2 linked regions of the Nothobranchius furzeri genome follow. The protein of the gene in region 1 purifies or fractionates together with the protein of each later gene. This does not show direct contact. Links are inferred from orthologs where the notes say so. Each region holds a gene or a part of one and is shown on either strand. Other genes may lie near its edges. The genes, in order: blnk and syk.

The links.
Region 2: the proteins of blnk (region 1) and syk purify together in Homo sapiens (affinity purification with western blotting; 3 studies listed by BioGRID and IntAct, with this or other methods). This does not show direct contact. The link is inferred for Nothobranchius furzeri from reciprocal best matches to the Homo sapiens genes BLNK and SYK.

What each region holds. Positions count from the first base shown.
Region 1 is NC_091752.1:13,565,515-13,582,298, reverse strand, and holds the start of blnk (B-cell linker protein), read right to left. Parts: upstream 8,615-16,784; 5' UTR 8,515-8,614; coding exon 8,446-8,514; intron 8,334-8,445; coding exon 8,271-8,333; intron 1-8,270. UniProt on the Homo sapiens protein: Functions as a central linker protein, downstream of the B-cell receptor (BCR), bridging the SYK kinase to a multitude of signaling pathways and regulating biological outcomes of B-cell function and development.
Region 2 is NC_091746.1:36,406,299-36,422,944, forward strand, and holds the start of syk (tyrosine-protein kinase SYK), read right to left. Parts: upstream 7,147-16,646; 5' UTR 7,013-7,146; coding exon 6,488-7,012; intron 5,847-6,487; coding exon 5,686-5,846; intron 1-5,685. UniProt on the Homo sapiens protein: Non-receptor tyrosine kinase which mediates signal transduction downstream of a variety of transmembrane receptors including classical immunoreceptors like the B-cell receptor (BCR).

The sequences.
Region 1 (16,784 bases):
TGTACACGTGACGACCCGAAAAGTAATATACAGGCAAATAAAACTGTATCAACTCTTGGGATAAAAATTCGGAAGTACCGTATTTTCACGACGTGGGTTATTAGGGAAATACCGGGTGAGCAGTGTTGATGCATGATTGCGCATGCGCCATGAGCGGTTCTGGTACTTTTTGGGTCGCAGCCGCTCGCTGTACGTGCGCTCTAAACCAGGACTATACCTGTAAAGTGAAGCATGCTGTTGGCTGTTTATAATTTTCACAATGTCTGGTTTGCACTAATATGATCCGAGTCCCGAGCTCGCACAGATGTTTTACCGGTTCATTTCATAACGATATGTATATATAAATATAAAATATATATATATGTACATATATATATATATATATATATATATATATATATATATATATATATATATATATATATATATATATATATATATATACATATATATATATATATACATATATATATAAAATGTATGAAATCTCAAAAAGCAACAGGTAAATCATTGTTAGAAAGTCAATGTTTTAATTGTGTATTTTTATTTTTTTGCAGTTGCAGAAAACCATTGCTGATGGTGGCCAACCAGCTACCAAAAAGGCAAAAATGTCCAACCAGAACATTGAGGACGCATTTACAAGTACTACAAAGTACAAGAGTGATGCCAAAGAACAACAAATTAAAGAAGAGGCTATCGCTACATGGATTGGATGTACAGGATTGCCGGTCACAACAGTAGAAGATGAGGATTTTATTCTGATGATGGAAAGTTTGGATAAGAAGTTTACTGTGCCAAAGAAAACCAAGATAAGTAATCTAATTGAAAAACACTATGAAAACAAAAAAGCTACATTTAAGAAAAGACTGTCTAGTGCCAGAAAAGTATGTATTGGGACTGATCTGTGGACTAAAAAGGGACTGACAGCATCATTCCTTGGCATAAGTTGCTGCTTTTTCTGTGTTGAACAACAAAAACCAGAACACTTACTGCTAGCTCTTGAACAACTTGACCATCCACACACTGCCCAGTCCATTAAGGCTTGTGTGGGAAAGTGCATGCAAGAATGGGGGATCCTAAATGAGAAAGTTCTCACCGTAATAACAGACAATGGTAGCAATATGGTGGCAGCATTCAAGCATAGTGCTCCAGAAGATGAAGATTCCAGCTCCGATGATCCAGATGCATCCATCCTAAGTGAAAGTGATTCCAAGGAGACAGAAAACCTGCAGTGTCAAGACCTAGGCATGTACAGGATGCCATGTGTCATCCATGCGCTGCAGCTTGTTGTCCACATGATAAACAAGGAGGAAAGCATCAACAGAGTCTTGAACACAGTACAATTAATCGTGAAACTTTTTCGCAAGTCATCAGTGGCAACACAGAAGATTTTGGATGAGTGCGGCCTAACTGTTGTGAATGACTGCCCCACACGCTGGTCAAGTACTTATGAAATGGTTGCACGTCTCCTCAAAGTTAAAGAATCTGTTTGTGAAGTAGCAGACAAGATGGGATGGGACTGCTTGCTCTCAAGTGAGTGGCAGAAGCTGAAGTCAATGCAAGAATTTTTGCAGCCTTTTGCTGAACACACACAAACTCTTCAGAGTGACACAATGTCTATGTCATTAATACTCTCTGCTCTCTTTGATTTACTCAACCATCTGGCAGATGTGGAACAAAACACAAGTCGAGATGTTGCTGCTCTAGCACGTAAAATGGAAGGGAATGTGAACCAGCGTTTTGCCTGGGTACTTGATCCCTCAGATGACAAGTTTTCCCCACTTGTAGCAGCTGCTTGCTTTCTCAATCCTACTGTGGGAAACGCAACCGAGCAAAGGTCACACTAGCACAAAGTGCTTTTCTCAAAATGAATCGCACCAAATAAATATTCACACTGTTTGGTTGAGCCTGTGTTGTAACAAGTGAATATCTATAGACTCAGGGTTAACATGTTTAAATTTGCTGTTCTTGTAAATTCTTGTTGTGCAATTGCTAAAAAGAGCACCTTTGTAATTTCCAGTGTGCTTTTTGTTTTTTATTAAACACGTAAGTGTTAAACATGTGAAGTGGTTTTTTAAATTCAAATATTCTATGTTCTTAGCTGTGTGCTATATCTGATCAGTGGTGGTTAAGAGTTTGGACCCTGTGTATTAAATTACACTAGTTTTTCCGTGCTCTATACAAAAGTAGGAAATTACTTCATTCGAAAAAATATATGCATTTTGTTGACTAAAATTGCTTATTTTTATCGACTAAAATTACTTGTTATTTTCATCGACTAAAATGGGACTAAAACTAAAATAAATCTAATGACTAAAATTGGACTAAGACTAAAATTAATTTTTAGCCAAAAGACTCAAATAAAATTACAATTCCCTGTCATAATTAACACTGACCACAGGCAAAACAAAAACGTGTTGTGTAAAAACGGCTATTTTCAGCACATTTTTAGGTCCGACGTGTTGCCACCAGACGTACAGTGTAAGCAGTCAGGTCGCATCCGAGAACTGGGTCGTACAGTGTGAGCACATGACTCGTGAGATCTGCCGTGCGAGGAAGTCATACAGTTTGAGCTGAAGCTGAGTGCTACGAGTGAAAAAGTCGCACAGTGTCCCCCCAGCTTAAGGCAGAGAGGAAAGTATCTCTGTCTGTCCCCAAAACAATTTTTATCTGAATCTGGTGCCCTTGGAGCCTGTGAGGATGAAGTGATACCCCCCCCCCCCCCCCCCCCCCCCCCCGAAGAAATGTGGAATGCTGCCGTCGCTATGGAAACTCTTTCTCCCTATCCCAGCCTGGGTGGGACTGTGACCGGTGAAGGCCGTGGAACCATATCTAGGCGTCAATGTGCTCTCTAACCCATTATCTCCCTCCCCTGTCCAAACGGAGGTGATGAGCGCTGCCCCATGCGGCTGCACGCACTGAAGTGAGGAGAGTCCCAACCCTACCTCCCCACCTAGTGGACACTTATGTTGTGTATGTCTGAAGTCTGTGTGCATATCTGTCTGAGGTGGGTTTTTTTGCATAGCAAAGCTGCCCTCTCTGTGGAGGGTAACTCTGAAGTGCCTTTTTCCCCTCCCCCTAACTCTATCCTCATATAAACCTTCTTGTTCTATTAAGGTAGCGCGACTCGGGTTGCGAATGACCACAGTCACCAATTCTTGTCATGTGTCTATGTATGTATGTCTGATCTCAGAATTGTATGTACTGAAACTCTAATTTCCCTCTGAGATTTATTAAGTATGTTTGAATTTGAATAGAAATTTTTTTTTAAACTTTCCCAACACTGCATGGAAAGTGTACCCAAAACTTAAACTGGGATTTCTCAAAAACTATAAAAGATATGAACATGAGGCTTTAATATACTAAAGCCTCATGTCATCCATCCATTTTCTTCTGCCCATTAGGGGTCGGGTCGCAGGGGCAGCAGCCTAAGCTGGGAGGCCACTTGGAACATGAAAAAATCCTAAGGCGTTCCCTGGCCAGCCGAGAGACATACCGTAGTCCCTCCAGCATGTCCTGGGTCTTCCTTCTAGGCCTCCTCCTGGTTGGACGTGCCCGGAAAACCTCACCAGGGAGGCATCCAGGAGGTATCCTGACCAGATACCCGAGCCACCTCAACTGGCTCCTCGTGTCATGTGACCCATTTAAACTTTGAATGACATTTCTAATTTAAAGCAAAAAAATCTGCTGTGTTTATGATGTAAATCATGCAGGAAACATGCTGGAATCAGAATGCAATGCTGGAATATCAGCTCAACTACAGTAGGTCCAACAGGAGCCAGCAACTCTGAAGATGCAAGAGTGATATTCTGGCTACAGAGGTTGGTGGGGTCTGAGTGACTTTTCATTAACCCGGTAAAAGGTTGATGCAGTGCAGCTGAAAAAGGTTTTCTAGGCAGTCTGAACCAGGTGAGTCTAGATTTAACGGTGGACAGTGAGTCCGACTTACGCACGCTTTCACGCCACACCTCAAACATGTCCCACAAACAAATGAAGCCTCTGAACTGAACGTGCTTCATTTCAACTTCTGTAGTCTTTGTTTTCTTTGCTCTTTGGTTCATCATTCCACTCAGACGTGCTTTGCTCTTTGCTTTGCTTTTTGTAATTTTAGAGTTCTTCTTTTATTTTAGACAACTAACTGGAAATTTCTTCTGCCAGTGAAATGACACTTCCTGTAAGTTGCAACAGCAACTCTCTCTCTCTCTCTCTCTCTCTCTCTCTCTCTCTCTCTCTCTCTCTCTCTCTCTTTCTCTCTCTCTCTCTCTCTCTCTCTCTCTCTCTCTTTCTCTCTCTCTCTCTCTCTCTCTCTCTCTCTCTCTCTCTCTCTCTCTCTCTCTCTCGATGATTAGGAATAAATATTGTTTCTGTTTTTAAAATTTCACCTCAGCTCAAACAAATTAGGATTTAGTGTTTTCATCACATTTAGCTTGTATTTGCTTTAACCCTTTGATGCATAATGGTCACTACAGTGGACAGATACACAAAATTGTTATTTATTTATTTTTGCTATTAAGCACAGCTGTTGAAGACTTTAATGCATGTGAGCCCCTCCATTTGGGCTTCAGCAAGTCAAGCCAACATATTTCATGTTCAGAATGCACGCTGTCCACTGAGATGGACGTGTAATAAATTATTTGTAAATTAACAAAATGTTACAAAAAATATTTGTTGAAATTTGTTTCATTCACACCTAAAGATGAATGGAAAAAAATGCTTAAAAATCATGGTTGAAGATTTCATAATTCATGCATCAAAGGGTTAAAACATCTGCATCTTTATTCATTGAATGAGTTTCCTGTCCCTACTCTCTAGGGTCCTGGTACTTCATGACCACGAAGATGATGAACGTGCAGAAATGCAGGTCCTAACCCCCCCAGGCAAACACATTACAGGGTCATGAGCACATCCTGTGTGCAGACACCAAGCATTCGTGTCTTATGGGATCTTTCATGGAATAGAGAACAATGGGCCGAGTCAAACACAATGGAGTTCAATGACTGGGACCAGTTTATGATGCTTTTACAGAATCAAACTGATAAATATTTTTTCGCATGTATATATTTTTATTTTACCTCTGTTCTCATCTTATATTTGTTTCTTTTATCTGTTATGCCAACTAGGGATATAAGGAAATATCAATAAGGCAAAATATCGCAATAGTTTTTCCTGTGATGTTATATTAATATTCAAAAGCCGAGTATTGGACTTTTTGGAAGAATTTACAAGAAGCATTTGTGTATTTTCTTTTCTTGTGATGCAGTTCAAACACCAACCACTAGTTAGCAGCAGTGTTCAAAGGGTTTTGTTTCCACCACTGAAATGTGATTCCCTCTGTTATGGTTCAGATTCTTAATGTTCAACATGTTACGTACCAGTTTGGACTGATTATTGAATTTTCCTACAATAATTCAGTCTAAAAATCGCAAATGTAATAATTTATCATGATACTTCATGTCACCAGAATTTCACCAATACACATCCCTAATGCCAACTATACCACTTGAGTGTCTTCCATTCTGTAGCCAAAGCGAAGACACTGCTAGCTCACTTCTCATTTTATCAGATCATCTTTTTTATTATGGTTGATCACGTGCCAACAAGACTTACTGACAGGGTTCGAATAATGCAGGTGCTAAGGGGGACCGGTTTCCCCCAAAAGTGTGATGGTTCCCGCAAAAGCCCTCAACCAACACATGAAAGGAGGACCCTAAAAATGATGGATTTTCAACTTATATTACATTAATTTTATGGACTCTACGCATACCATGTGTTCTGTCACAAACCCCCCAAGGTGCTTTATAACACAGTCATCCACCCATTCACACCGTAGTGATGATCACTTGATATAAGCCACATGTTGACGCAGCAGAGCTCAAACTCAGGCCCTGTCCACACGTAGCCGGGGATCTGCCAAAACGTAGATATTTTTCTACGTTTTGGCCTGTCATCCACACGAAAACGGAGTTTTTTCACACGAAAATGGATCTTTTTAAAAACTCCGGCCAAAGTGAAGATCTGTGTTTTCTCTGTTTTGGGTGGCTGCGTGTGGACGGACGAAACCGGAGTTTTAAGGTCCGCAACGTCACTTTCCGCCACAAAAAAATGCTGACATCACGTGTGCGACCTGTGTTTACACTAGCCGACAGCATGGATGCCCTCAGAGCTGCGCTCGCTTTATCACTTGTCCGAGCGCTTTTTGTTTGTTTTTGCAAGCGGAATTACTGCTCCTTGCGAAGACCACAGACGAAGGACGAGGTTAAGAACGGGGGAAGTACTGCCGCCTACAGGTCTGGCATGTCCTTAACAACGTATTTATCCGGGTACGTGTGGACAGAGTTTTTTTTAAAAGCGAGGTGGTGTGGATGCAAGTTTTTGGAGGGGCGGATACTCATTTTTTTAAAAACCCGGCTACGTGTGGACTAGGCCTCAGATTCCCACCAGGCCAAAATGAAACACTGGGACAAGATTTGTGTCTAAATGACTGAAAAGATGCACATTTCCCCTTCGCTCCAGATAAGTATTGTTCATTTGGTTAGGGTTAGGAAACAAACACTGAACCAGATTGCACACGAACAATTACATTTAATTAAAATACACTTCCGTGGTATTAGTTAGTTGTGTCTCAATGTTTTATTTATCTTTTTATTCCTTAAGTGTGTGCATATTCAGCTTCTTCGATTCTGTTTTAACCTTTGAGTGTTAAGAATCTTTTAAGTATTTCTGTTCTATCTTTGCTCTTATTTTTTATTCTCCTGATTTGCTCTTGTAATGAATGTCATCGCTGCTGTAACTTTCCCACTGAGGGACAATAAGGGGATTTTCTATTCTATTCTTCTACATGTAGCCTTTCCAGTTCCTGTTTAACTGAAGGTAAAATCATTTTTAATAAATAGTTCCCATACAATGAAAATGCCATATTTCAGTTATTAACTTTCATCCATTGAGTAGAAAAAGTGCATGAAACCACAATAATTCACACTTGGTTTGCTCCAGTCTGATATAGTCTGAAGCTCACTGGTTTAAGCCAGGCCTGCATTGGTGGCGTTAGGCTCCGAGCTGAGGAAGGTGTTCATTGGTGAGACGACTCCTGTGTTGAGTGTGTCCCTAAACTGGAGCTCAATCAGCTCTGTCTGGAGGTTGGTCGGTGCCCTCTTCACATTAATCGTGAAAAGATTACTGAGCTGTAGAAATCTCCTTTTCTGGTTCTTCAGAGTGGGCTAATGGCCGGGTAAACTCGGAGTATCTTCAGTTTGCCCCAGAGTGACGAGGGTTCTGCTGCAGACGCCGACACTGCTAGCATGGATGCTAATGACTCTAAACAGAAAGGAGGGGGCCCTTTGACTGATATGCTAATGCTGCAAAGCACTATGGGATTTGTAGGATTTGTGACAAATGCATCAGCTGGCCAGTTCTAATTCATATTTGATCTCATGGCCATTTATAAATACACCACGGGCTAGATTTGGCTCGAGGGCCTGAGTTTGGTCACAAAGCCAGACAGAAACTTTGTGTCTGACAGAAATCAGAGCCTTGCAGCTCCCACACAGCGAGGAGAAAAAGCAACAAGAAGGAACTCGAAGCAGAAGTACGAAGGCTTATACTAACTTCCACTTTAGGAGGGAAGTAGTGCATGCTGTTGTGTTCCAACGTGTCATGTTTCATATCCTGCTTTTGTCCTTTGGTTATGCAGAATCACGCTTACCGTCATAAATATCCGACTGATTAATGAAACAACTCAGTTTCAACAGGTAACAAGGGAAAACAAGAAAGTAAACAGCCTGTATTTGATATAACGCCTTCTAGAGTCCTGGAACCCCCCAAGGCACTTTACAACACAGTCATTCACCCATTCACACCCTGGTGAGGATGAGCTACGATGTAGCCACAGCTGCCCTGGGGCACATTGACAGAGGCGAGGCTGCTGAACACAGGCGCCACTGGTCCCTCCGACCACCAGCAGCAGGCAAGGTGGGTTGAGTGCCTTGCCCAAGGACACAACAACAGGGACAAACTGAACGGGGCTCGAATCTGCAACCTTCTGATTACGGAGCGAGAACTTCAGTCCTGTGCCACTGTCGCCCGAATGAAAACATGAAAAAATCATAAATGAATACAAATGAGTTCCTCAGTTAATTTGTTGGACCAGCTGTTTTATAACCCAGTCGTAACCTTTTCTGCAGGATTTGCTAGTTTGTCTGTAATCCGGAGCTCAAACGACATGACTGAGCAGACAGAAACAAGAACTTAAATTAGAACCTGGAGAAACTCACCATGAGTCTGTGTCCATTTATCTTTAATCTGATCACAGTTGCAGCACATTCTTGCATTTTATTCTGAGGATTACAAACATAACCTTCAATTCCATCGTGCTTTTAGTCACAACATCGACTACTTAATCGTTAAATAATGAGAAAATGGTCCATTTTTTCTTCTAATTTAACTCACCTTGCTCATAAAAACGGCTACTTGTGTCTGGTCCCACCCCTCACATTCCTGTCTGGTCGGCAGGTTCATGTCTGTGTCTATGGGAACGTTGGAGCAGCAGTGTTCAGCAGGAAGTTGGAGTAAGAGACTGAGCTCTGCATCAGCACACACAGGGAGGTCACCTCATTACAGGAACAACCATTCCCTCACTGGCTCTTTACATACACTGTGTTGTAACACCCCCCCCACCCCATCCCAGGTTATGTTGCAGCGTTAGCAAAGGGGAAGCAGGAACTTCCTAATCTGTGAAAACCTCAAGAACCCGAAGGTGTCATAATAGTGGAACTGCTCTTCAGCCCTGCCTTCATGCACGCTTCCTTTACTGTAAACCTGTAGGACTGCCAAGGCACCAATATTATTGCACCTTTACTCCAATTAATTCCTCATTCTGTCAGCATTTGTCTCTTTCAGACCCACAGCTTAAAGAAATGTTCAACATATGAGTCACAACACGCTTGAACGGTATTTCTGCGTCATGCAGCAGACAAAACTAAGAAATTTTGTTAAACCAGGTGAGAAAAATCACACCCACCTCCCGTAACTCTCAAACTCAAGTAGACTTGCTGGAAGAAACTTGATTCAGCGTTTAAACTGGTCACAGGAGTTTGGACTTTACATGCCTGACTTGATTGCTTTTACATGATCACAGCACAGGTTTGGTTTCTATAGCAACACTTGTTCCTTCTGAAATACATTGGGCTTCACATGCCTGTTGAATGTGCAAACATTCTTATAGACCCTTATGATGATTACAATTAATGAAAAAGCGTGCCCTCAAATGGATGCACATCACCAATCTACATGTGTTTTGTGGATTTGGAGAAGGCATCCCACATTGACCCTCGGGGGGCCCTGTTGGAGGCCCTGTGGGCCCTGTGGGAGACCCTGTGGGAGGCCCTGTGGGGGGTACTGCAGGAGTATGGGCCCTCTGATACAGGCTGTTGGGTTCCTGTATGATCGGTGTCAGCGCTTGGTCCACATTGCAGGCAGTAAATCGAGCTCAGTCCCAGTGAGAGTTGGACTCTGTCAAGGCTGTCCTTCATTCTGTTCATAACCTTTATGGACAGGATTTCTAGGTGCAGCCAAGGTATTGAGGGGATCTGTTTTGGTGGCCTGAGGATCAGGTCTCTGCTTTTTGCAGATGGGGGCCTCAACTATCGCCACACGTTGTGAGGCTGAAGAATTGCACATCAAACCAGACGATCAGTAACATTGGAGCACCACAGGGGACTGTACTCTCACCATTCCTTTTCACCCTGTACACCTCAGACTTCCAGTACAAATCAGAGACCTGTCATCTACAGAAATACTCAGATGACTCTGCAGTTGTCGGGTGTATCAGAGATGGACAGGAAGCTGAGTACAGAGAGCTGGTGGAGCGCTTTGTGGCATGGTGTGGAAACAATCATCTGACCTTGAACGTGAACAAAAGAGATGATTTTAGACTTCAGAAGAAACAGGGTGGAGTCAAACACCGTTTCCATCATGGGAGAAGAAGTGGAGGTAGTTGAGGAATACAAATACCTTGGAGTTCACCTGGACAACAGACTGGACTGGAGAAAGAACAGTGAAGCTGTTTACAAGAAGGGACACAGCAGACTGCACTTCTTGAGGACGCTTAGGTCCTTCAATGTCTGTAGCAAGATGCTGCAGATCTTCTACAAGTCTGTTGTTGAGAGTGTAATCTCGTCAGCCATCGTCTGTTGGGGTAGTAGCATCAGAAGCAGGGACCTGAAAAGGCTCAACAGCCTAATAAAAAAGGCTGGTTCTGTTCTGTTAACAACCAGGCTCCAAGCTACCTATCTGAGCTTTTATCCCCACACACCTCTTCACGGAACCTCCGATCCACATCTGAAAACCTCCTGGCTGTTCGTCGAACCAGACTAAAAACCAAAGGGGACAGGGCCTTTCAGTCTATTGCCCCCAGACTTTGGAACAGTCTACCTTCAAATCTCCGTCTCTTGAAATCTGTAGAGGTCTTCAAAAAACATCTTAAAACTCACCTTTTCATCCAGGCTTTCCCCTGCTAAATATTCTAAAAGATGGCCTTGTTCTTGTTCACACCTTGACTTTGTTTTTACGCCTGATTTTGGTTACTATTGTTGTCACTGCTTTTGTTTTTATGATGTATTTATTGGTTTGAGGTATTTGCCCTGATTTTACTCATGTTGTACAGTGCTTTGTGATTTATATCTGTGAAAGGCGCTCTATAAATAAACTTTACTTACTTACTTACTTCTGGGGACGACTGTGGAACCACTGGAGGAGATAATGCAAAGAAGGATTCTCCAGAGATTCAAGAAAATTATGGACAACCCTGAGCATTCTCTTCACAAGACTGTCCGACAACAGAAGAGTGTCTTCAGTCAGAGGCTTCTTCAGTTTCGCTGCAACACTGACCGCTACTGGAGATCCTTCCTGCCAACAGCCATTGTAATATACAATAACTCTTTGATGACTTGATTATTATTCTGAGCTACTACAGCAATCAATTTCCCTCTAGGATTAATAAAGTATTTTTGAATTGAATTGAATTGAATTGAATGTGGTCCTGTTGGCTTCATCAGAACGTGATCTTCAGCTTTTACTGGAGCGGTTCGCAGCAGAGTGTGAAGCAGCTGGGATGAGAATCAGCTCCTCTAAATCTGACACCATGGACTTGAGTCAGAAAAGGGTAGAATGCCTTCTCCAGGTCAGGGATGAGGTCCTGCCCCAAGTGGAGGAGTTTAAGTATCTCAGGGTCTTGTTCACGAGTGAGTGATGGAGCGTGAGATCGACAGGTGGACTGGTGCTGCATCTGCAGTGATGTGGGCGTTGTACCGGTCTGTCGTGGTGAAGAGAGAGCTGAGTCGGAAGGAAAAGCTCTAGATTTACCGGCTGATCTACGCTCCTACCCTCACCTATGGTCATGAGCTTTTGGTTGTGACCGAAAGAACGAGATCACAGATGCAAGTGGCTGAAATGAGTTTTCTCCGCAGGGTGGCTGGGCTCTCCCTTTGAGATAGGGTGAGAAGCTTGGTCATCCGGGAGGGGCTTGGAGTAGACCTGCTGCTCCTCCACATTGAGAGGAGCCAGTTGAGGTGGTTCAGGCATCTGGCCAGGATGCCTTCTGGTGAGGTTTACTGGGGATGACCAAGGGTGGTGGAGTGTTGCCCGACTGGCCTGGGCCGAGTGAGGACCACCATGGCCTCTCTTGTAGATTCATCCATGACCATCACAGCCCCTTGATGCTGCTTCTTCCTGTTTAACTGCATATTTATTCTTGAAGCTACAAGATTAAATCTAATGAAATTAAGTAAAATAAAAGCTATTTTTAACCAGAAAGCGTTTATTTTTTAAATGTGACCATAATCAGGATTTATTTTAAAACTGACATTTAGGTCTAGAAATGGTTTTCGGACATGAATCTTTGGGGAAAGAAAGTACTTTGGCCTGTTTTTAAAATGCTAAATCAGAACTTCTCTTTACTAAAAACAGGAAGAAAACAAAACAAAGTAAACGAACGGTTCGGTGGAGCTGAGGTTGAGGATCGATCAGCGCTGTCTGTGTGCTCCTAACCTCACACAGTAAACTCTTTTCTTTAGATTGTTCTTGAAAACCTTTGAAGGCATCTTACTAATATATTGTCTACAGTACATTTAATAAAATATTCACCCAAAAATGTCAAACAGGTATTTGGTCAACCTGGGAGTGAAGATGGACAATGCCCTGATGTCCATGTTGGTACTGTGGTGTTTTCAGCACCTGAGATGGGTGGCTAAAGTCTAGACAGGATGGTGAGACGGTTGTTCATGCTTTTATAACCTCACACCTGGACTACTGTAACATGGGGTAGGTCAGAGTACAGTAGCTCCTCTGCAGCTTGTGCAGCAAGATTCTTAGGTGGCAAAAGAAAGTTTGATCACATCACACCTGTTCTGGCTGCCTGTGGACTTCAGCATTGGGTTTTAGCTCCTTTTAATGGTTTTAAGGCTTTGAATGGACTGGCTCCAGCTCATCTGATGGAGTTGGTGCAGCCTTGTGTCCCTGCTGGTGGCTCCTAGAGCTCGGCTAAAGACGAGAGGGGACAGGGCGTTCTCCGTAGCAGGACCTGAAGACCCACTTTTATGGGTTGGCTTTTAACTCTCTGGGTTAGATGTTGATCTTTTACACAATTTTATCAGTTTTCCTCATTCCTGTAAGGGTCTCTATAAAGATGATGATGATGATGATGATGATGATGATGATGGTCCAAATGATCCAAAAACTACTTGGAACCGCAGCTCTGATTCTGCAAACTTTTTCTTTACGTTCATCAGAGTTTAGGCTGATGATGTGAGAATCTAACAGAAGCACAGGTGTAGGTGTTTCATCTGAAACAAATCTATGGTCTTTGAATGATTCCATCTTAAATCTCTCATTCACTCATTTCTTTAAACCTGCTGTGGTCTCTAGTATGAATGAATGAATCCTCGTTCTCTGTGGGGAAAAAGCTCTGGAGAACCTGCGAACGTCCAGCATGCACATGCATGCTGAGGGTGACCCATGGTATTTCTCTTCATCCGATCCATGTTTGGCTTTTAAATGTTTGATTCTTGCCAGCAGTGAGAATCTATTTTCTAGAGGTTTAAACTTTAAGCCAACTAGAGGTTGTAGAGTTCTTCATCTTCAGATCTCTCTTCTGCAAAGCTTTTGTTCCATTTTGTACTGAGGTCTGTGCCAAAGTTGTGGTTTTTATTAGCAACCAAAGTGTTGGGAAGTTTATTGGTCATGAAGAAACAGAGGTCCATTTTGTAGCTCCGTGTTTCTTCACCAGGCTAAAATAATGATGATGCAAAACAAAAGACCTGGGGTCTCATTTATCAAGCTTGCTTACGCACAAAACGGGGTCGGAAAACTGCGTAAGCAACTTTCCACGCAAACTTTGGGATTTACAAAAGAAAACTTGGCAGAAAAATGTGTGCAACTTTAAGTTGACTAAGGACCTGGCTTACGCACATGTTGGACATGGAGAGCACCTGCAGTGCTGCTGCTGAGAAGATACGATTATGAAATCCTGCAACATTATCACTTGTACACACACACACACACACACACACACACACACACACACACACACACACACACACACACACACACACACACACACACACACACACAGAATGCTTATCTTTCCTAAAATGTCCACTGAAGCTAATAATTTCTGAAACATTTACAGGCAGTAGAAGAAAACTGGCATTTATATTTTGAACAACCGATATTTTAGTTTTGTCCTATAAAAGTGTTTCTATTTAATCACAGTGAAGCAATGAGCCATCAGAGGATTACATTCTCAACACAGTCCAACACCCACAAAGAGAATCTTGCAGAAGACCAGAACTTAAAGTGGATCAAGCAACTTGAACTTCCCTCTATGAAGATCTGGTTGTTGTAGTTGATAACTGTGGATGACATAAAAAAGAACTACTTTTGCTCTCAGTGTCTTGTTAGGGTTACCATGGCAACCATACACCTGTAAATGACCCGGTCCCTCCGACTACCACCAGCAGGCAGGAGGAGTTAAGTGTCTTGCTCAAGGACACAACAGCAGATCAATCCTGCACCCTTTTGGTTCCTGGAAGACCCGCTCTACCTCCTTGATCCCACAACAACCAACCAATCAGATGGCAAATGTTGATGCAGAAAACAGCGGTTTTCTAAACATCTGATGTATTGATGTCTGTGTGCACGTCTCAGACTCTTATTGTGAAGGACTTCCTGTGTGCATGCTAATTCAGGCGTGGTCTTTAATGGGAGTTTATTTGCACCAACAAATAAAAGCCTAAATGTTTTTGGACTGATATCACCTGATGTAAATAATGAAAAGATGCATTTTTAAAAAACGTATAAAAATACATGCATTTGTTTTTGCAAATGAACTCTTGTTTTGTGTTTTATTCTGGAGACAAACACCCAGAGCCCTCGAATCACGCAACGGTCGAGTTTAGGGGATTCACTTCTTTAGCTATTGCTCAAAATACCTGAAAACATTATTTCAACTTTTATCTCGAAATTCTGATTTTCTTTTTTTCAAATGTCCCCCTCCACCGTAATAAAGGAACTGTGGTTCTCCTCTTCCAAGCTCTTATCTCAGGGAACTCAGATGCCATCCTCTGACTAAACAAACGTGCTGATAAACTGGGAGAATTTAAGCGCCTGATGCAGGAAGCATTTATCTCAGAGATAAGAGGTAGATTTTTACTGGCTTCTAATTGGATGGAGGCCAGCAACCTCATATACTGCTGACTGATTGGAGGGTAAATAGTCCACCAATTAGTGGTGTCTGCCCTTTGACACCCGCTAACCCTGGCCACTTGGCACTAATGAGAGCTGTGTAATAATATCTGTCAGAAGAAAACAAGGTGCTCTTATTGTGGCGAGGACGATAATGAGGCTCTCTTAATGAGACGGCCCGTAGTCATTTAGTCATGTCCGTATGGGCTCCTGAAGCAGGTGCCGTTTCTACAAGCAGCACTCATTAAAACCTTTTCTTTATTCAGTTATGTAGTTTTGCTCTGCAGAGTGACTCTTCTTGTAATCATGTTTGTAAATTAAAGCACAGACAAGCTTACAAAACCGGTCTTTAAATCTGTCTCTGGGCTGCTTTCCTGACCACTGCATATGCAGCAACACTCCCCGGGTAAATGCTGCTAATCATCAATAGCTGGCACACACCACACCTGTATGTGTGCCAGTGTGGAGTATGAAAGGTGGGCCCTCCTGGGAAATGCCCACAATGACTCCTGCTTTAGGCAGGAAGCTAATTAAAGCCGTAGAGCAGATGGACCAGACTTGACTCTGGACATAATGAGACGGTGAGTGCGAGACAAACTGGACAGCAGGACAGATGCAAAGGGGTGTGTGAAGTGATCAGGACTTTGGCATCTTACAGCATGGGAGGTTTTACAACACCATGGAAAATTCTGGACCAGGAAGAGCCTGCAGCTGTGGGCTAAAGTTTTGAGGATGCCACAAACAATATCACAAAGTTTGCTGCTTCGTTCTTCAGACATAATGTCCTGGAATAGAATTTAATCCCAAACCCCATTTGCACTTTTGAAGAAGGCTTCGGGGTGCCCAGAAAAGTCCAGCAGGTCCAGGACAGGAATGCAGCCGCTACTTCTGAGTCCAGGGAGTGGACCAGTCCCAGTTTAGTCGTAGAACAGCCATAAATAAAGAATGGTACCTAAACATCCTCCCAGAGGAACTCTCCAACAGCTTGGTGGCGATCAATGAGTACGTTTACATGCAGCCAATATCCGGGTTATGATCGGGTTAAGGTCGGGATTCGGGTTTCTGAGTTGATCAGAATAACCCGTTTACAAGCATAAATCGAAAGAGTTACCCCTAACTTGCATAACCCGATGTAAATGCGGACGTTGGGGTAGCGTCAGGACGTATGGACTACGTCCAGACGCAATATGCGTCATTTCCGGTTCTTCTTGTTCCGGTATCCATGAAAACAACATGTTTCCCAGTTCGGAAGAGATAGAGACCGCGTTTGTTTGCGCTTTAGTTTCCTCGTCACTCAAAGTGTGGTGCTGTGCCGTGACTCGCCATTTTGCTCCCAACTTGTTGTTTACTTCCGGTGTTCTGGCGCATACAAGACGTCTCGCTACTCAAAGGACCAAGATTCCTTGCGAACAGAGCATGCGCAGAACAAACGCTTTGATGGGGATATCCCGATATGCGTTTACACGACCAAGCATTCGGGTTAGAAAAGGGTTACCCCAGGTGTAGTAACCGGGTTTTTAAAAATCCGGTTATGAGCATATCCGGGTTTTTGGCTGTGTTTACAAGGACCTGCGGAACCGGGTTATTGTGAATATTCGGGTTTTAAAAGGGTTACTGGCTGCATGTAAACGCACTGATTGTCTTCCTCAGCATGACGGTGTCATGATTCGCCCCGGCCTCCCTGACTGTGTCACTCCTTCCGTAATTAGCTTTATTGTTCTCACCTGGCCCTCGTTAACCTGCCCATGTGTTCCCTGATTGTTCTGTGTATTTATACCTCCCTCTTTGTTCCTGTCGTTGTCGGATCATTGTCGTTTTGTGCATGTTCGTTTGTCCTGTCGCTCCCAGTCTATAATTAAACCATTTTTATTTTTTCATCCATTGCTTGCTCTTCTGCCTCCTGAAACCCACCACCACACATGGTCTGCCATCTCCACCCGCAGAACATAACAGACGGAGAACCAAGCCAGAAGAATAAAGTCAGAACTTTGTACATCAGGACCAGGATCAGTCAGGATTTGGGCAAGAAGTTGATAGACAGCCTGGTG
Region 2 (16,646 bases), on another chromosome or scaffold:
TGAAAAGAAACTGACTTATGGTCACTGAACACAACATCATTTATCTGCAGCTTATCAACAAGAAGTCCGTAGGAAAAGACTAGATCCAGGGCGTGGCCTGCTCTGTGAGTGGGACCAGACACGTGTTGAGAGAAGTTAAAAGAGTTCATCATGTTTAGAAACTCCCTGGTAGAGCTGTTAGATAGATCCTCAGCGTGGATGTTGAAATTTCCAACAATGATTATCCTGTCTAGTTTAATAGTTGAAGATAGGAGGTCCTGAAAGTCAGACAGGAAGGATGAAGTAGATCCAGGTGGGCGATAGACCAGAATTCCATAAACTGGTAGAGCTCGACCAATTTTAATCATGATCATCTCGAATGAGCTGTAGGAGTTTGAGGATATAATTTGGCATGAAAAGTGTTTCTTAAAGATAACAGCTGTTCCTCCACCGCGGCCTGTGGTCCGTGGAGCAGAAAAGAAAGAGCAGTCTTGAGGACAGAGCTCACGGAGATGAGTGATGCCATTTTTGTGCTGCCACGACTCAGAAATGCACAAAAAGTTTAATTTTTTGGTCCGGAACAGATCGTTGAGGATGTGAGACTTGTTGGCGATGGAGCGCGCGTTAATCAACATCATTTTCGCGGAGGAATCTGGCAATGTGTGTGCCGCGGGCTCGATAATGGCGGGCGGCTGGCGGGCTAAGCTACGTAGCGACTCCACGCTACTCCCGCAGAGGTTCTTTGTCTCCTACGCCTTCAGGTAGCGTCCTGCATCAGGGGCTCCATTTAGCAGCGAGATCAGCCCAACTCCGTTAAGTTTCTGTTGGATCCGCCACAACACAGCCGCGGAGCAGCGATCAGGCAGAGCTTCGCCTCTCATGATCTTTCGAAGCTGAACGAAGAAGCCGGCTCTCTTCCCCCATTTCCTCTTCCATGGCCTCCTGGGCAGCGGCAGGCCGACAGGTAACAGAGGGCCGAGACCTGGGTTAACGCCAGGTTCCAGAGGCGGTGGGAAAGCGGATCCGGTATCGGAGTTCTGGAGGTTGATCATCACGGACCTGATCGACAACAGTAAGGGACTCCGCACCAGATAAAGAAGAAACAATAAAAAACACCAAATAACCAAAAAAGATCAGGAGCCTAGCAAACGGACAACATCTCATGGGCGCCATCTTGTAGACCACTGAACAGGAACAACCTTTCTGCCTTTTCTTGGATGTTAAACTCAGAGTATCATTTTATAAACATCTTAGGATGCCTCACTAGTTCCGGATGTTCTGTGCTGTTGCACAAGTTTAGTTTTTATTCTAATTATTTTATCGGTACTGATCACAATGATGTACTGATGATGATCGGTACTGATTCCAATGCAGCTGAGAGCCTGTAACACAGGATGCCTTCTGGGTAAAACTCTGATTAACCATCTGATGTATGCTGATGACCTGGTGGTCTTCAGTCCAAGTGGTGCTGGTTTACAGCAGCTCCTAAATATCTGTTCTGAATTCGGTGTGCAGTATGATATCCAGTATAATGCTGTTAAAAGTGCTATCTTGATATGTAGAACCAAGTAGGATAAAAGGCTAAACTTTCCTGTGTTTAAACTGTCTAATAGTGATCTTAATGTGTGTGAGACGGTGAAATACCTTGGCCACTTTAAAAACAATCAAATGCGTGGAGATGCTGAAATCCATAGACAGTGCTGTAAGCTCTATGCACAGGCCAATAGGTAAGTTTAGTTTTTGTTCACTGTCAGTTAAGGTGGCTTTATTTAAAGCATATTGTACTCCACTTTATACAGCCCAACTGTGGTCATCCCACAATCATCATGAAGAAGCTGCATGTTGCATACAGTGATGCCTTAAGAATCTTACTCAAAATACCCAGAGGGGGCAGTGCCAGTCAGATGTTTGTAACAGCAGGCATTTGTACTTTTAAAGCTCGTTTAAGAAAACTAACATTCACTTTTAGAGAACGACTGGATAGCTCTGCCAACAGTATAATTTAGCAATCACTCATCCTGCTGTGAGCAGTTGTCGCTATTTGTCCTGTATAAGGAAACACTGGTTGAAGTGTTTGTGTGGTTACTCTTAATTGTGTAGAACATCTCTATAGTAAGTTTTAAAATAATTTATATTTTTATTTTATTTTCATGCTTTTATCATTTTTATTTGTTCTATTTGTTTTTACCAATTTTGTTTCATTATTGTTTTTAATGTTTTGTTGTTTTATATTTTTCTTTATCTGGACCTAAGAGTCTGTCAGTAAAGATTATCTATCTATCTATCTATCTATCTATCTATCTATCTATCTATCTATCTATCTATCTATCATCATCTATCTATCTATCTATCTCTCTATCTCTATCTATGAAACACATTTTTTAATATTAGCTTTTTTTATCCATAAAACTTGATTAAAACCACAATCATCTGCAAAAGAGTTAGATCCGTTCAAATCTGTGATCAGTACCGATAAAATAATTAGAATAAAAACTAAACTTGTGCAACAGCACAGAACATCCGGAACTAGTGGGGCATCCTAAGATGTTTATAAAATGATACTCTGAGTTTAACATCCAAGAAAAGGCAGAAAGTTTGTTCCTGTTCTGTAAATCTGTCTCAAGACAAAGGGGTTCTCACAGAAAACTCCTTTAGTTCACTCATTTGTAAGATAAATTTCTTTTTTCTGTTTATTTTTTTCTACATATTCAGCTTCATATTCTCTGCTCTGCTAAATCTATCCACTTCTTTCATTTTATTGTGCTTTTTGCTGTTTATTTTATTTGTTTTCTTCAGATCAGCTTGGAAACATTCGGATCTGTAAAACCTCTGCAAAGCAGACTTTCATCTCATCTTCAAACCACACAGAAAAATTTGGTGTTGATTCTAAACACATTTCTGCTGATTTGAAAAATGTTTTACCGGTGGCTAACTCCACCTGCTACAAGGCGATCTTTAAGCTGAGGAGCTGTGACTTGATAAAACTATTTTTATAGTTCAGGAAGTAAAAAAGAGCCAGCCGAGACAGCCTAGCAACAGAGAAGACCAGAGTTAGAGGAACTAATGCAAACTCATAAAAGGACCTGTCTGTCTTTGCTAGGACCCATCATAAGAGTAGCTTTCTACACTAAAAACTATATAAAAAATTATTTTATAAAATATGAAGCTCTAATAGTGTAGGTCAGATGATCTCCTCAAATCTCAAATGTTGAAGTTAAATTGAATGTATTATCGTGGAAGCTTGGTGTGGAAAGACAGCATCTCTGACTGTAAGAAGGGACCTTCTGCCAGGCTGCTGTGCTCTGTCTTATTTGGCTACTTCAGGAAGTCCTTTTGCAAACTGTCAGAGCGGAAACCACAGCACGCACGTGTGTGTGTGTGTGTGTGTGTGTGTGTGTGTGTGTGTGTGTGTGTGTGTGTGTGTGTGTGTGTGTGCGTGTGTGCGTGCGTGCGTGTGTGTGTGTGTGTGTGTGTGTGTGTGTGTGTGTGTGTGTGTGTGTGTGTGTGTGATTATTCAGCTGAGACCACTGCTGCTCGACTTCAACTGCTATAAATTCTCCCAGGATGCTTAGTTTAAAAAGCAAATGTTTAAATCCAGTGGTTTAACCGTTTCACATTCAAATACGTGATTTTAACCACATACAGACATATTTTCTCTGTTTGAGTTAAAAGTTGTAGTTTTTCTCACTTAATAGTATTTTATGTGTTTATTTTAAAATCAACAAGTTTATCATGGAAGTTTCAGGATTTCTGTCGTCCAGCAGCATGGAGGAGAAATGTGCCTGAACAGGTCTGTGTGAAGAAGTTGAGCCAAAAAGGCACAGAATTATTTTATGTGTGTGTGTGTGTGTGTGTGTGTGTGTGTGTGTGTGTGTGTGTGTGTGTGTGTGTGTGTGTGTGTGTGTGTGTGTATATACATATATATATGTGTGTGTCAGTGATTACTTTTGCAATGACCGTCAATAACAAAAAAAATGAAAGAGTTTAAAGATATAAAAATGGGAAATTTTGATCAAAACACGTCAGGAAAGGGGAAAAGAAAATGAAAAAAGCCAATCAGTGGATCCCTGGAAAATCAGAATTGGCAGAAAGAGCAGAACAAAGCTAACTTAGGTGTTAGCTAGCCATCTAAATTAAATGTCATCTGCCTCAAACTGCAAATCTATGGGTGTTTCTCAATGTCAAGGCGCCTTGCCTTGTGAGGCGATGTCTTGCGAGGCCAGGCGCCTTGCTTGCGAGGACACTGTCCTTTCTCGGTCAAAGGAAGGGGCAGCAGTAGCTCAACAGGTTGAGCGGATTGTCCAGTGATCGGGCAAGACACTTAACCCACCTTGCCTGCTCGTGGTGGTCGGAGGGTCCGGTGGCGCCTGTGCTCGGCAGCCTCGCCTCTGTCAGTGAGCCCCAGGGCAGCTGTGGCTACATCGTAGCTCATCCCCATCAGTGTGTGAATGTGTGTGTGAATGGATGAATGATACACTATAGTGTAAAGCGCTTTGGAGTCCTTACTCTGAGAGGCGCTATACAAGTGCAGGTCATTTATCATTTATCATTTAAAGAAAACGGTTAAATGGAACAGACTTGCATCACGTGACTGCGGCTTTTACGGCAGTCACGTAACGTCACATGACACGGGAGATATATGTATTTGTTTCAGTATAAATATATAACAAGCCTTTTACTTTTTAAATTGTGTATATGTTTATTAAATAAAAAATAAAAGTGAGTTACTACCCGCTAGCCAACGAAGCTGCAACTACTAAGCAACTAACCAACAATAGATAACTTCTTTGGATCTAAAAAATTGTCCCCGAAGTAGCTGCCGGCTTCTGATCCGCTGTCTTTTTGAAAATACTGCGGTGTATTGTGGGTAATTTTTGACCAAGGCTAGGCTACAAGACACCTCCCGTGTATCCTTGCTCTGCTAGTTAAGCGGCTAACAAACGGAGAACACACGCCTCGGTAGAACATGAACATTGGAACCGATTGGAACACGCCTTGGCGGCTCCTGATGATGTATATCCTAGGCAACCGGGGCGGGACCAAGACATCAAGGCAAGGTTTCTTGACATTGAGAAACACCCCATATCTGCATCTAACCTAAAATAACCCACCTGATTGGCCAAATGAGTGAAGGACTCTATTTGCATTGTGTGTAGCAAACGTTTGAGCTGACCATTCATAGTGTATTTGCCTGTTCTTTGCGATTTGTGTATTGAGCAAGCCGATATCTCGATGACAATACGTTTGTGATGTACTGTGCAGCCCTAATATAAAGTAAAATAAAGTAAGGCTCTCTAGCATGCACATATGACACACCAAACCTTTCAGCTACTTTCCTCTCAGTGTCAATATGATAGATCCAGGTAGAGGTTTAGCAATATTATTGTTTGTTTGGCACAAGTGGCTGCACTTCAATTGAAAAGATAATGTTTAAAGTTTAAGTATGCATGATAGGAGATGTGGAATGATGTTACCCAAGACTGTTTTCTTCCACGTTACAACACATTCACAAAAGTCATTCATGTTCATGGTTTGTTTTTTAACAAGAGGGCGACCCTGCATGCATTGGTGTTGGTTTAGATTGGTATCTGTTATTAAGTTGGACTATTTAATTTGGTATGTTGGATATCAGTAAAAAAGTCAATATCTAACATCTCTAATATTTAGTATTAGGAACATTTATTGTGAACATGGTCAGATACTTACAGGAACTTTCCATTTGTGCGGGAGCCGCACTGGAGCCGTGGCTCAGATTCCTCCCGGGTTATTGCTCCGTGGAACCAGGGCATTCGTTCATGAGCAGTGGTGGCTATGAGTTTCTCAAGCTGAGGTCTCTGGCTGATGATGGCCTGCTCAAGAGCTGCTCCCTGCAAGAACAAATATACTAATCATTCTCTAATATAAATACTAATATGATATTCAATATGCGTTTTGTAGTTGAGTTAAAATAGTTGTATATAGCCTGTTTTTGACATAGGGCCAAGGTGCTTCACAACACAATCAGTCATTCACACCCTAGTGGTGATGAGCTACAACGTAGCCACAGCTGCCCCGGGTGTGCATTGACTGAGGGGAGGCTGCTGGGCCATAGTGACGTAGTAACACCCAACTGAGTCCACACATACACACACCTTAGCTCACTGATACAGCCTGAATGTTCCAAATTGTGTTGCTAAGGTTTAAAGCATCAATGTCTAAAATCTCAGGTTTCAGCAGAAAGATGAATTCCTGCTGGACTCAATACCTGGATGAACCAGAAGTACACTTACCTGCTGCTGTGGATAATTAGGCTCTTGAATAACTACATAATTTAATGTAGAGTAAGACTCGTGGTGAGTTTATTGAATAACATCACATCAACCAAGGTGAAATTTAAGAGATTTAAGAGCTCTGAGCTGTTTTAGGACCAAAGCAACACGTTAGTCTTGTTCTCTCTAAGACCAGATACAACATCAGACTAGTTTATAGTCGATCAGTCCTGAAGGATGTAAATGCTAGAGAAACTAACCTGCAGGTTCCAGGTCTGCTTTACATACTGCCGGATGAGTTTGTCTTTCAAGTCCTCGAACGGCCCCACCTTTGGCTGCATGTTCTTGGGCCTGTTGCAGGGCTTCTTCAGCAGACACACAAGACCATCCATCTCCTGGGAATGGTAGTCAATCACATCCATGGGGGTTCTGTGGCTCTTACCACCGGCAATCGCAAACGTCTCATTGGGTTGTCGTTCAATGGTGTAGTGATAGATGCGGCCTGAGAATGAAACAGAGAGCGCAAAGCCGCCTAGATAGTTTCGGCTTTGTCGTAACAGATACAAGCCACTGGTCAAGCCTGACTGCCGCAGGTAGACCTCCGCCTCTTCCCTTGTGATGTTGCCGTAGAAGAACGGCAACGCATTCATGGTGTCCGCCATGTTGTTTTTTAGGTGCTGATGGCCTCCAAGCAGCCTTGTCACAAATTTCAGCCTCCAGCATAAAATTAATCTGAAAAGAAAATAAGAAAAATAAAATACTTGTGAATGACTTTTAATTTTCATAAATAATCCAGAGCCTCAAAACTGGAAAATCACAGAAGACGGTGGACAATTAACTGTCCAATGTTGTTTCCACTTCTTATGCCTAAAAAGGAGACATGAAGAAGGAAATAGTTACTAACTGGTCTTCTACAAACTGAGCTGAGATTCATGCAAAGAACTACAAACATGTCTGAAAACAGATTGGCACTAAGTAGCCTAACCATATCTGTGATCCTAGAGAAGGGATCGTTTAAAAAGCCACTACTTTAAGACATTTCACCTCATCCATTAGTTCTAATCCAGGGTTAGAAGTGTTGGATGAAAACACACGTTAACTAGGGTTGTTTTTTGATATCAGGTGAGTTTCTGATTCACCCTTCCTTTGGGTCTTCATCTTGTCATCACTAAATTAGATTATTTTCATGTTCAGCCTGCATGAAAATCTCAGAGTTATTGAAATAATCATTAAAAAAGGAAACCACACCTTTAAAATGCACAAATTAATTTCAGATTTAAGAATCAGAAAAAATACTAATTTAAAGGGTGTGAGCAGTTACAGTGTAGAAGGTGCAGGATACCAGAGATATAGATCCATCCACCAGAGACAAGGGAGATGAGTGAGAACCAATAGAGGACATCAACTGGAATTTGACCTTTTCAAAAATCTATTATCTTGTTGCAGCGGAGGTTCCAGACTAACATTACAGGCTCTGATTCTGTTGGTGATCGGTCAGAGGAAGAAGAAAAGATTTTTTTATAGCGTCTCTCAAGATAAAATCACAAGGCGCAGGAGGCGCCCTGGTTTAATTCATTGCTGTACATTTCAAAACAGACTTAAAGAAAGTTACAGAGAAAATAGCGTTCCATAAAGAATTTTATTTAAGCTAGAGAGACAGCTTGTTATTAACGAGAACTTTCTCTGCTGAGCTGGAGCTGAGTATAATTCATTAATACGTAATAGAGAAGAACAAGAACAACTCGGGTTTTTTTCTTTTCTTTTCTATAGCCAGACTGGTGGAGGGTCCTGCCTCTGTTGAGCCACGTATCCCTACAGCCATCAGGAGGGATGATGTCATAAAATCCTTCATAATTAAAATAACCTCAAGTAGACACTAAATTCCCATCATCCTCCACTGTTATTACTCATCATTAACAAGTTAGACAGATTTAGAAGCAACAGAAGAACCTGGTTTATGTTTCTGTCCTATTGATCTTTATCAGATGACAAAGCTTCATCTAAACCATCAACATGTCTGCAAACCCATCAAAACCAAACTGTTTAAGGAGGTTTATCTCTATTAACACCTCCATCATGAGCCTGATTAACATCCATAAGAATTAACAACCATTAAAGGTCCAAAGTGGAAAGAGTTGAGTACAAATACCTAATAATATTATTATTATTATTATTATTATTATTATTATTATAGTAATGGATTTGATTTACATGGCGTTGTTCTAGGCAGTCAAAGTGCTCACCATTATTCATGCACTTTCACACTCACACACTGCCGGTGATGTACAGGACAAATGGCAGTTATTGACCGCAAACTGACATTCGAGGCAAACTGTGAGACTGTCTTTAAAAGGGTAAATCTCATTCTGTCATAAGCAAGGGCAGCAGTGGTCTAGTAAGACAAGAAGAGCAGCAGCTGAGCCCTGTCACATTGTTTTGAAGACAAGTACAGAGGCTGGATCCATGTGACAGCTCTCATCCACAACACCATGAGTTCCAGCTCCTCTCATCTGGACACAGACACACACTCCCATGATACAGAACCATCGACATATAAATATTGGACAATGGGTTACCATACACTCCAATAATAAGTTTTTGTGCTAAAATGGGAGTGGCCACCACCGCCATTTTGACCGTGTCACAGGTTCCGTCAAGCCCAGACAATTCCACAAAAGGGAAGAGAGGTGGAGCTGAGGGTGGGGCTGTAAGGCTGGGATCAACTGACGACACCCGGTCAAACTAGATACAAGCTAACCTGAAGCTAACCCAAAGCTAACGCGGAGGTGGGAGCTAAGCTAACGGAGGTAGCAACCTAGCTACAACCGGAGTTAACTGTGCACAACACCAGAGCTTCTGAGTCAGAGATACACCGGGCTGACCGCTGGGTAAAACCGGGTAGAACACAGAGGTCTCCCGAAAGCTGCTGAAAGCCGGCAGCCGCGCAGCAGACAGAAGCGGCGATCAGACAGAGATGCGCCGAGCTGCGGGGAGGGGAGAAACGGGTGGAAAACATCGGTCTCCCGAGAGCTCCACAAGCCGATAGTCGGAACCCAGCTCCACCAACATGTTCTATTTCAACCCATTTTCTAAAGTGCAGCATTATGTTAAATGCACTGGGTTTTACCCTATTACATTTAAATTTCATGGTTAAACAGTACATGTTAAAATCTAATCTCAGCTAGTGCAAGAGCGGCAGTGACCTAAAATACATAAATATAACTTTACTTACTGAAAAAAATGAAGTGGAGACTCCTTGGACGCTCTATTAGTGCAATTAATGCCATAGCAAGTAATTTTGTCCAATCAGACTGAGGCCTTTCCCCAGAGCTAGCTCTGCGGTCACGTAGGTCTGATGCTCATTAATTATACAGAATTTTAGGCTTTTAATACACTTAAACAGAAGAGTGAGAAAAAAATCCACCCCCCTCAGAGTTGTCATGAGTGTAAACTAGATAATTTAAACCAAAAACATGTTTTGGTACCAGGCTGTAAACATGTTTATTTCTGCTGTGAAAATTGGTATTTTTAACATGGGAGTCAATGAGGATTTGCTCGCTTCTGACACCAGCCCCCAGCGGATGAGGGTGCAACTGCAATTTATTTCACTTCCAGGATTGCTTCAGTTTTTCACCCGCATTGTGGGGGCTTGATCCAGAATCGAACCCAGATCCTCTGCACGTAAGTCCGACATCTTACTAGGCGAGCTAGAGTGCCAGTGACATTCTTTCTATCTGTAACATTTATATCCTTGATCACAGCTGAAACAACATTCAAAGAATGACTCGGAGGGCTTTGTCTGAGCGTGAACGCGCATGAAGCAGCCTGCTCGACCCGAGCAGCTCTCTTTTTCTGTGATTTTACAGAAAAACAAGCAATCACAGTAAAAATGCCAGGGCTCATTCTACGGGACCAGGGCATTGCAGGATAATGTATGAAGAAGAAATTTATTATTTCTACACATATTTTGGCTGTCAAACTTCCATATTGCCCCTTTAAATATTCTGCCTAAAACTGTCAGCGATGCACCGTCGTCGGGCAAAAATTCTGCACTGTATTTGAATTTAAATCTGCCACCGCTATTGGCTAAGAGGCATGCTATGATGTTAGCTGGTACATTATGATGTCACAATGCCATTGTGAGCCTGTGTGTGTTTATTTGTTAGCGGCTTCACCCTCTCGGTCTGCCAGGCAACAGCATTTGTTGCATTTTTCAAACCTGAAGTGGGAGTGAAGTAAGTTTCTTGTAGGGGGTGACTTGCTCTTTAATTACTGAAAAGAAAATGGATGGATGGAAATCAGTGGACCCCAAGAAAGGCAGAGTAGTTAGAAAGAGCTGAATAAGGAGATGGTGATGAAGGTCAAACAAAAGCCAGCTTAAACAGTTGAGTTTTCAGCTGCTTTTTAAAGGAGACCACTGAGTCCACTGATCTCAGGCTCATGGGGAGAGAGTTCCAGAGTCTGGGGGCCACAGCAGCAAATGATCTGTCACCTTTTCTATGTAGGCGATGATGGCAAATTAGTTAAGTGCTCGCCCCATAATCGCAGGGTTGTAGGTTTGAGCCCCGCACAGTCTGTCATTGTTGTTGTGTCCTTGGGCAAGACACTTAACCCACCTTGCCTGCTGGTGGTGTTCGAAGGGACCGGTGGCGCCTGTGTACAGAAGACATGCCTCTGTCAGTGTGCCCCAGAGCAGCTGTGGCTACAAAGTAGCTCATCACCACCAGGTTGTGAATGTGTGTGTGAATGGGTGAATGACTGATTGTGTTGTAAAGCACCTTGAGGAGTTCCTCAGTTGTGACTTAAAGAATGGTTGTGCAGTGCCTGGTGCACTGCACAACTGTAGCGTTGTGGTTTTAGGCTCTTTTATGAAAGAGGAACCATACTACGAATTAATTCGGAATATTAATTTTTAATAAATCAACCATTGTAAACCATTACGCTTTGGTCACTGGACCTCAGGGACCTGCTAGGGGTGTAGACACTGAGAGGACCACCAATGTATGATGGTGCTTATCCATGAAAAACACTGCTACCTACAGTAAAACATGGTGGTGGTCCCATCATGCTGTGGGGCTTTGTGGCCAGTGCAGGGACTGGGAATCTAGTTAAAGTTTAAGGACACACGGATTCTACTCAATTTCAGCAGATCCTGGAGACAATGTCCAGGAATCCGTGACAAAGCTGAAGCTGCACCGGGGCTGGATCTTTCAACAAGACAATGACCCTAAATGCTGCTCAACATCTACTAAGGCATTCATGCAGAGGAACAAGTAGAACATTCTGGAATGGCCATCTCAGTCCCCAGACCTGAATATTATTGAAAACCTGTGGTGTGAGTGAGAGCTGTCCGTGTTCAGAAGCCTTCAGCATCGGACTAATGCTAAGCATAATTCTGCGCACACGAAGTGTTATGATTCACCCCTTTTTGTGTTTGTGTTTAACTTTTTCTCTGTTGTTTTTTGTTCAGGTCAGCTGCAGCTCCTCTCAGGAATCCTCCCCTTCCCTGTGAACCTCCTGGAGTGCTGCAGCTGAACCACATCATCTTGATTGCCCTTACCCTATTTCAGGCCACTGCTGCCAGTCATCAGTGTGGAGTTGTCTTTGCTGAGTTGTACTTGTATGGATTGAGTTTGGTTTTGGTTTTTGGTTCCCACAGTCAGTGGAGGAGGTTTTGTTTATTAAATCTTTTTTGAACTCTGGATAAAGGATCTTTATTCCTGCAAATGGGTTACTGCAGAGGCAAACCGTGACATTACAACTCCACCAAGATGTCTGACCCAGCAGGAAGAACCCAGAGACAAGACCCTTCCTTACCTGCCTCTGGTGAGAGTGCTGCAGGAGAAGCCAGCCTTCCTGTTCTGACCCAGGAGCTCCGCAGCTGCATGTCAGGGTTGCAGCAGTTGCATGGACGTGTAGCCACTGAGACGTAATTTTGGGGGGGGGACGGGTGGGACATGTCCCCCCCACTTTTTCAAAAGGCAGTTTTGGTCCCCTGCACTTTTTTCCGTCCAAAATCAATGTTACGCTCCATTAAATGGATTTGGTTGAGCACTAGGACCGAAACGGAAACCGGTTTACTATTAGACCCGCCCAAAAGCTAATCTATTGGCTCTGCTGATACTTGCTAACGTATTATTGGCTGTTGCTGCTGTCACTCAAGTTGTAAACAGTCAGAACGTGCTCACGTTGTTTTGCTAGTTTGGAGCCGCTAGGGAACACCGGTACTGAGTCACATCGTCAACTAGACGCTACATAACATTTGAATAAGTGTTCATTTGTGAGTCTTTGGTAGTTAGGCACAGCCAGGAGGCAGCATGTCAAGAAAACGAAAAGTGGATATAAGAGACTTCTTTCAAAGTCAAAACGTAAGTTGGACATGTGACACCCCTGCATTAAGCTCAGACTCACCTCCTCCTTCACAAACATACTCAAAACTAACTTTTACAAACTCATCTCCTCCACATAACTGACTCCTCAGACACAATTTGTTCGTATTATTATAATAATTATTTTTTATTATTACTATTATCATCATAATTATTATTACTAGTAGTAGTAGTAGTAGTAGAAGTGTAACTTCAAAACTTTTATCATTTAACTTTATTGTAAACTTATCTATTGCAATGTATATTTTCACATTAAAAAGCTCTGAAAAATGAACAGTATCATCATCGTCAACAGATTTTTTTAAGCTTAATGTCAAAGATGTACACTTTTCATTAGATTTATCTTATTTTTTCCATTTATTTTTTGTGTGTTGAAATGCAACAACTGTTTAAACACTTTTAAGGGAAAAAACATATTTAATATGTTTTTATACACTCAAATGTTAGGGTGATGATCATGTGTAAAACATTAGTTCAGCATGTCCTCTAACACAGCAAATGAACAAACGGCCAGATCTCAGGAGAGACCGTTTATGTATAAATAATTTTTATACTTTTGACTAGGCCTGGGAAAGAAACAAATTTTGCTGGACGATATTTTGTCCAACAAATTGTTGATGATAAACGATATTGTCAACATTATCTAGACCAAAATAACCACTAATATAATGTTAATATATCATAATAATGCAAGTACACCCTTTAAAATGCAACAAATAAACCTTCATTTAACATTGAAATGTCCAGAACCAGAACTTCTAAATGAATAAAAATAACAAACAAAAATTGAATAAAAAAGGAATCTCACTCCCTGTTAGAAAATGTTGCACCAAAAACAATAAAAAAGACCCAAAAACAATAAATACAATGGCCTATCCATTGTCAACAGCCAAAACTGCACTTCAATAATGATAATAAATAAAAATAATAATAGAGTTGTACATTTTTTAACTTTGATATATATATATATATATATATATATATATATATATATATATATATATATATATATATATATATAGAGAGAGAGAGAGAGAGAGAGAGAGAGAGAGAGAGAGAGAGAGGATGGAAAAATTATTGAGATGGGCACGTGACGTGTCAAGGGGTCTTTACATAACACCCCCCACCCCAAATCCGCACAAGCCTGCTGTGTCCCCCCCCCCACTTCTGAAATCAAAATTTCGTCCCTGTGTAGCCAGACTGGAGCAAGCGCCTGCTCCCCCTCGACAGGTTCGTTTGGGTCGTCCTGAAACTTTTTCTGGTACCGCAGAGGATTGTCGACCATTCCTCACCTCCTGCCGGCTCCATTTTGACTTTAATCCAAGCGAATTCCCCTCGGAGCAGAGCAAGGTGGCTTTTGCCTTGAGTTTCCTGACGGGCAGAGCCAAGAGGTGGGGACTGGCTGAGTGGGATCGTGGAGCGGAGGTGGTTCGTTCCTTCCGGGCCTTTTCCACTCAACTCCTCGTGGTGTTTGATCCCTCAACACCGCACCGCGCGGCTGCTTCTGAGCTGCTCCGGCTCAAACAAGGAGATGACAGCGTAGCGTCCTATGCAGTACAGTTCCGGACGCTGGCGGCAAGCTCCCGCTGGCCTGATGATGCACTGGTCGACGTCTTCCTTCAGGGGCTCTCCAGCGAGCTCAAGGACGAGCTAGCCGCGAGGGAGGTTCCTGAGGAGCTGGAGGATCTTATCGATCTGGCTGTACGCATCGATCGGCGGAGGATGGAGCGCCTTCATGATGAACTCCGCCCACTGACTTCTTCACCTCGTCCTCACCCGATTTCTGTGAGTGTTTCTCACCTGGGCAGTGACGCCCCGCCCTCGGAGCCCATGCAGCTAGCGGGTCGGGTGTCATCCTTTTCTCCGCCCTCACGACCACCCACCAGTGTGCGGTTGACATATGGGACGAGACACGGTGAATATGACACCCTTATTGACTCCGGCTCTGATGGGGATCTGATGTCCCAGGCAGTGGTAAGCGAACTTTTGATTCCAGTCGAGGAGGTGTTTCCTGCATTGTCCATCCATGCCGTAAATGGTTCCCTTATCCACAAGGTGACTGCACGCACTGTTCCTGTCACTGTGACGGTCTCTGGGAACCACACAGAGCGGATGTGTTTTTTTGTGGTTGACTCTTTAGTGCCTCCTGTGATCCTGGGTTACCCCTGGCTAAGCAAACACTGTCCCCATATTGACTGGGTTTCTGGCCGCGTGTTGACGTGGAGTCCTTTTTGTTTATTGAACTGTTTGTCTGCTGCTCCTGTTCGCCCTGTTTCTAGCCAGCCTCCCTTGGAACCACCTGACATCAGTAATGTTCCCCCCGAATATACAGACTTGGCTGCAGTGTTCAGTAAGGTTCGTGCTAAGAACCTGCCCCCTCACCGTCCTTACGACTGTGCTGTGGACCTCCTTCCTGGTGCTCAACCTCCTAAAGGCCGTCTCTATCCTCTGTCCATCCCTGAGACAACAGCCATGGAGGAATACATTCAGGAGGGCTTACAGGCAGGCATTATTCGGCCATCCTCATCACCTGCGGGGGCAGGGTTTTTCTTTGTGGGCAAGAAGGATGGGGGTTTACGGCCGTGTATTGACTACAGGGGTCTGAATAGCGTCACGGTTCGTAACACTTACCCCCTGCCTCTCTTGCAGTCTGCCTTTGACCAGATTAGAGGGGCTCGGGTGTTCACTAAGCTGGATCTACGGAACGCTTATCATCTGGTGCGCATACGGGAGGGGGATGAGTGGAAAACTGCTTTCAACACCCCGTGCGGCCATTTTGAATACCTGGTGATGCCTTTTGGACTGACAAACGCACCAGCTGTGTTTCAGTGTTTTATTAATGATGTGTTGAAGGACATGATTAACAGATTTGTGTACGTCTATCTGGATGACATTTTAATTTTCTCCCCAGACCGTAAAACACATGTGCAGCACGTCAGGGCCGTTCTGCAGCGCCTACTTGAGAACCAGCTCTTCTGTAAGGCTGAAAAGTGTGAGTTTCACACCACCAAGACTAAGTTCTTGGGGCATGTGATCACGCCTGGAGAGGTACAGATGGACTGTGACAAGGTCAAAGCGGTTCTCGAGTGGCCTACACCTACTGGTCGGAAGCAGCTTCAACGCTTCCTGGGGTTCGCCAACTTCTACAGGCGCTTCATCAGAGGTTTCAGTGGCGTGGCTGCACCCCTCCACAGACTCACCTCGGCTAAGGTACGTTTTGTCTGGGACACTGCTGCCGACATGGCCTTTGCCGAGCTCAAAAGACGGTTCTCTGCGGCCCCTATCCTGACCCAGCCTGACACCTCCAAGCAATTCATTGTGGAGGTTGATGCGTCTGAGTCAGGGGTGGGTGCTGTGCTGTCACAGAGAGCGTCTGATAATAAAGTACATCCCTGCGCATATTTCTCCTGCAAGCTCACTCCTGCAGAGAGAAATTACGACATAGGGAACAGAGAGTTGCTAGCTGTTAAGCTAGCACTCGAAGAATGGCGCCACTGGTTGGAGGGTGCTGAGCAGCCGTTTTTGGTGTGGACCGACCATAAGAACTTGGAGTATGTACGGACTGCCAAGCGCCTTAACCCCCGCCAAGCACAGTGGGCTCTGTTTTTTGACAGGTTTAACTTCAACCTCTCCTTCCGTCCGGGCAGTAAGAACATTAAACCTGATGCCCTGTCCCGCCAGTACCAGCAGGAGGGTGAGGCTGTGGAGTCGGAGTCCACGTTCATCGTGCCGCCCAACTTGGTCCTTGGGGTCTCTCGTTGGTCCTTGGAGCGCAGGATTAATGCTGCAGTCCGAGACCCCACTACCATTCCGTCTGGATGCCCCCCGCACTGTTTGTTTGTTCCCCCAGGTTTTCGCCCGGCGGTGTTGAAATGGGGGCATTCATCACGCCTGGCCTGCCATCCTGGGGTAACCAGGACTGCCTTCCTGGTAGCGCAGCGGTTCTGGTGGCCTACGGTGTCTTCTGACGTTCGAGCTTTTGTCTCCTCTTGCCCAGTGTGTGCCAGCGTCAAGTCACCCAGAACTCCTC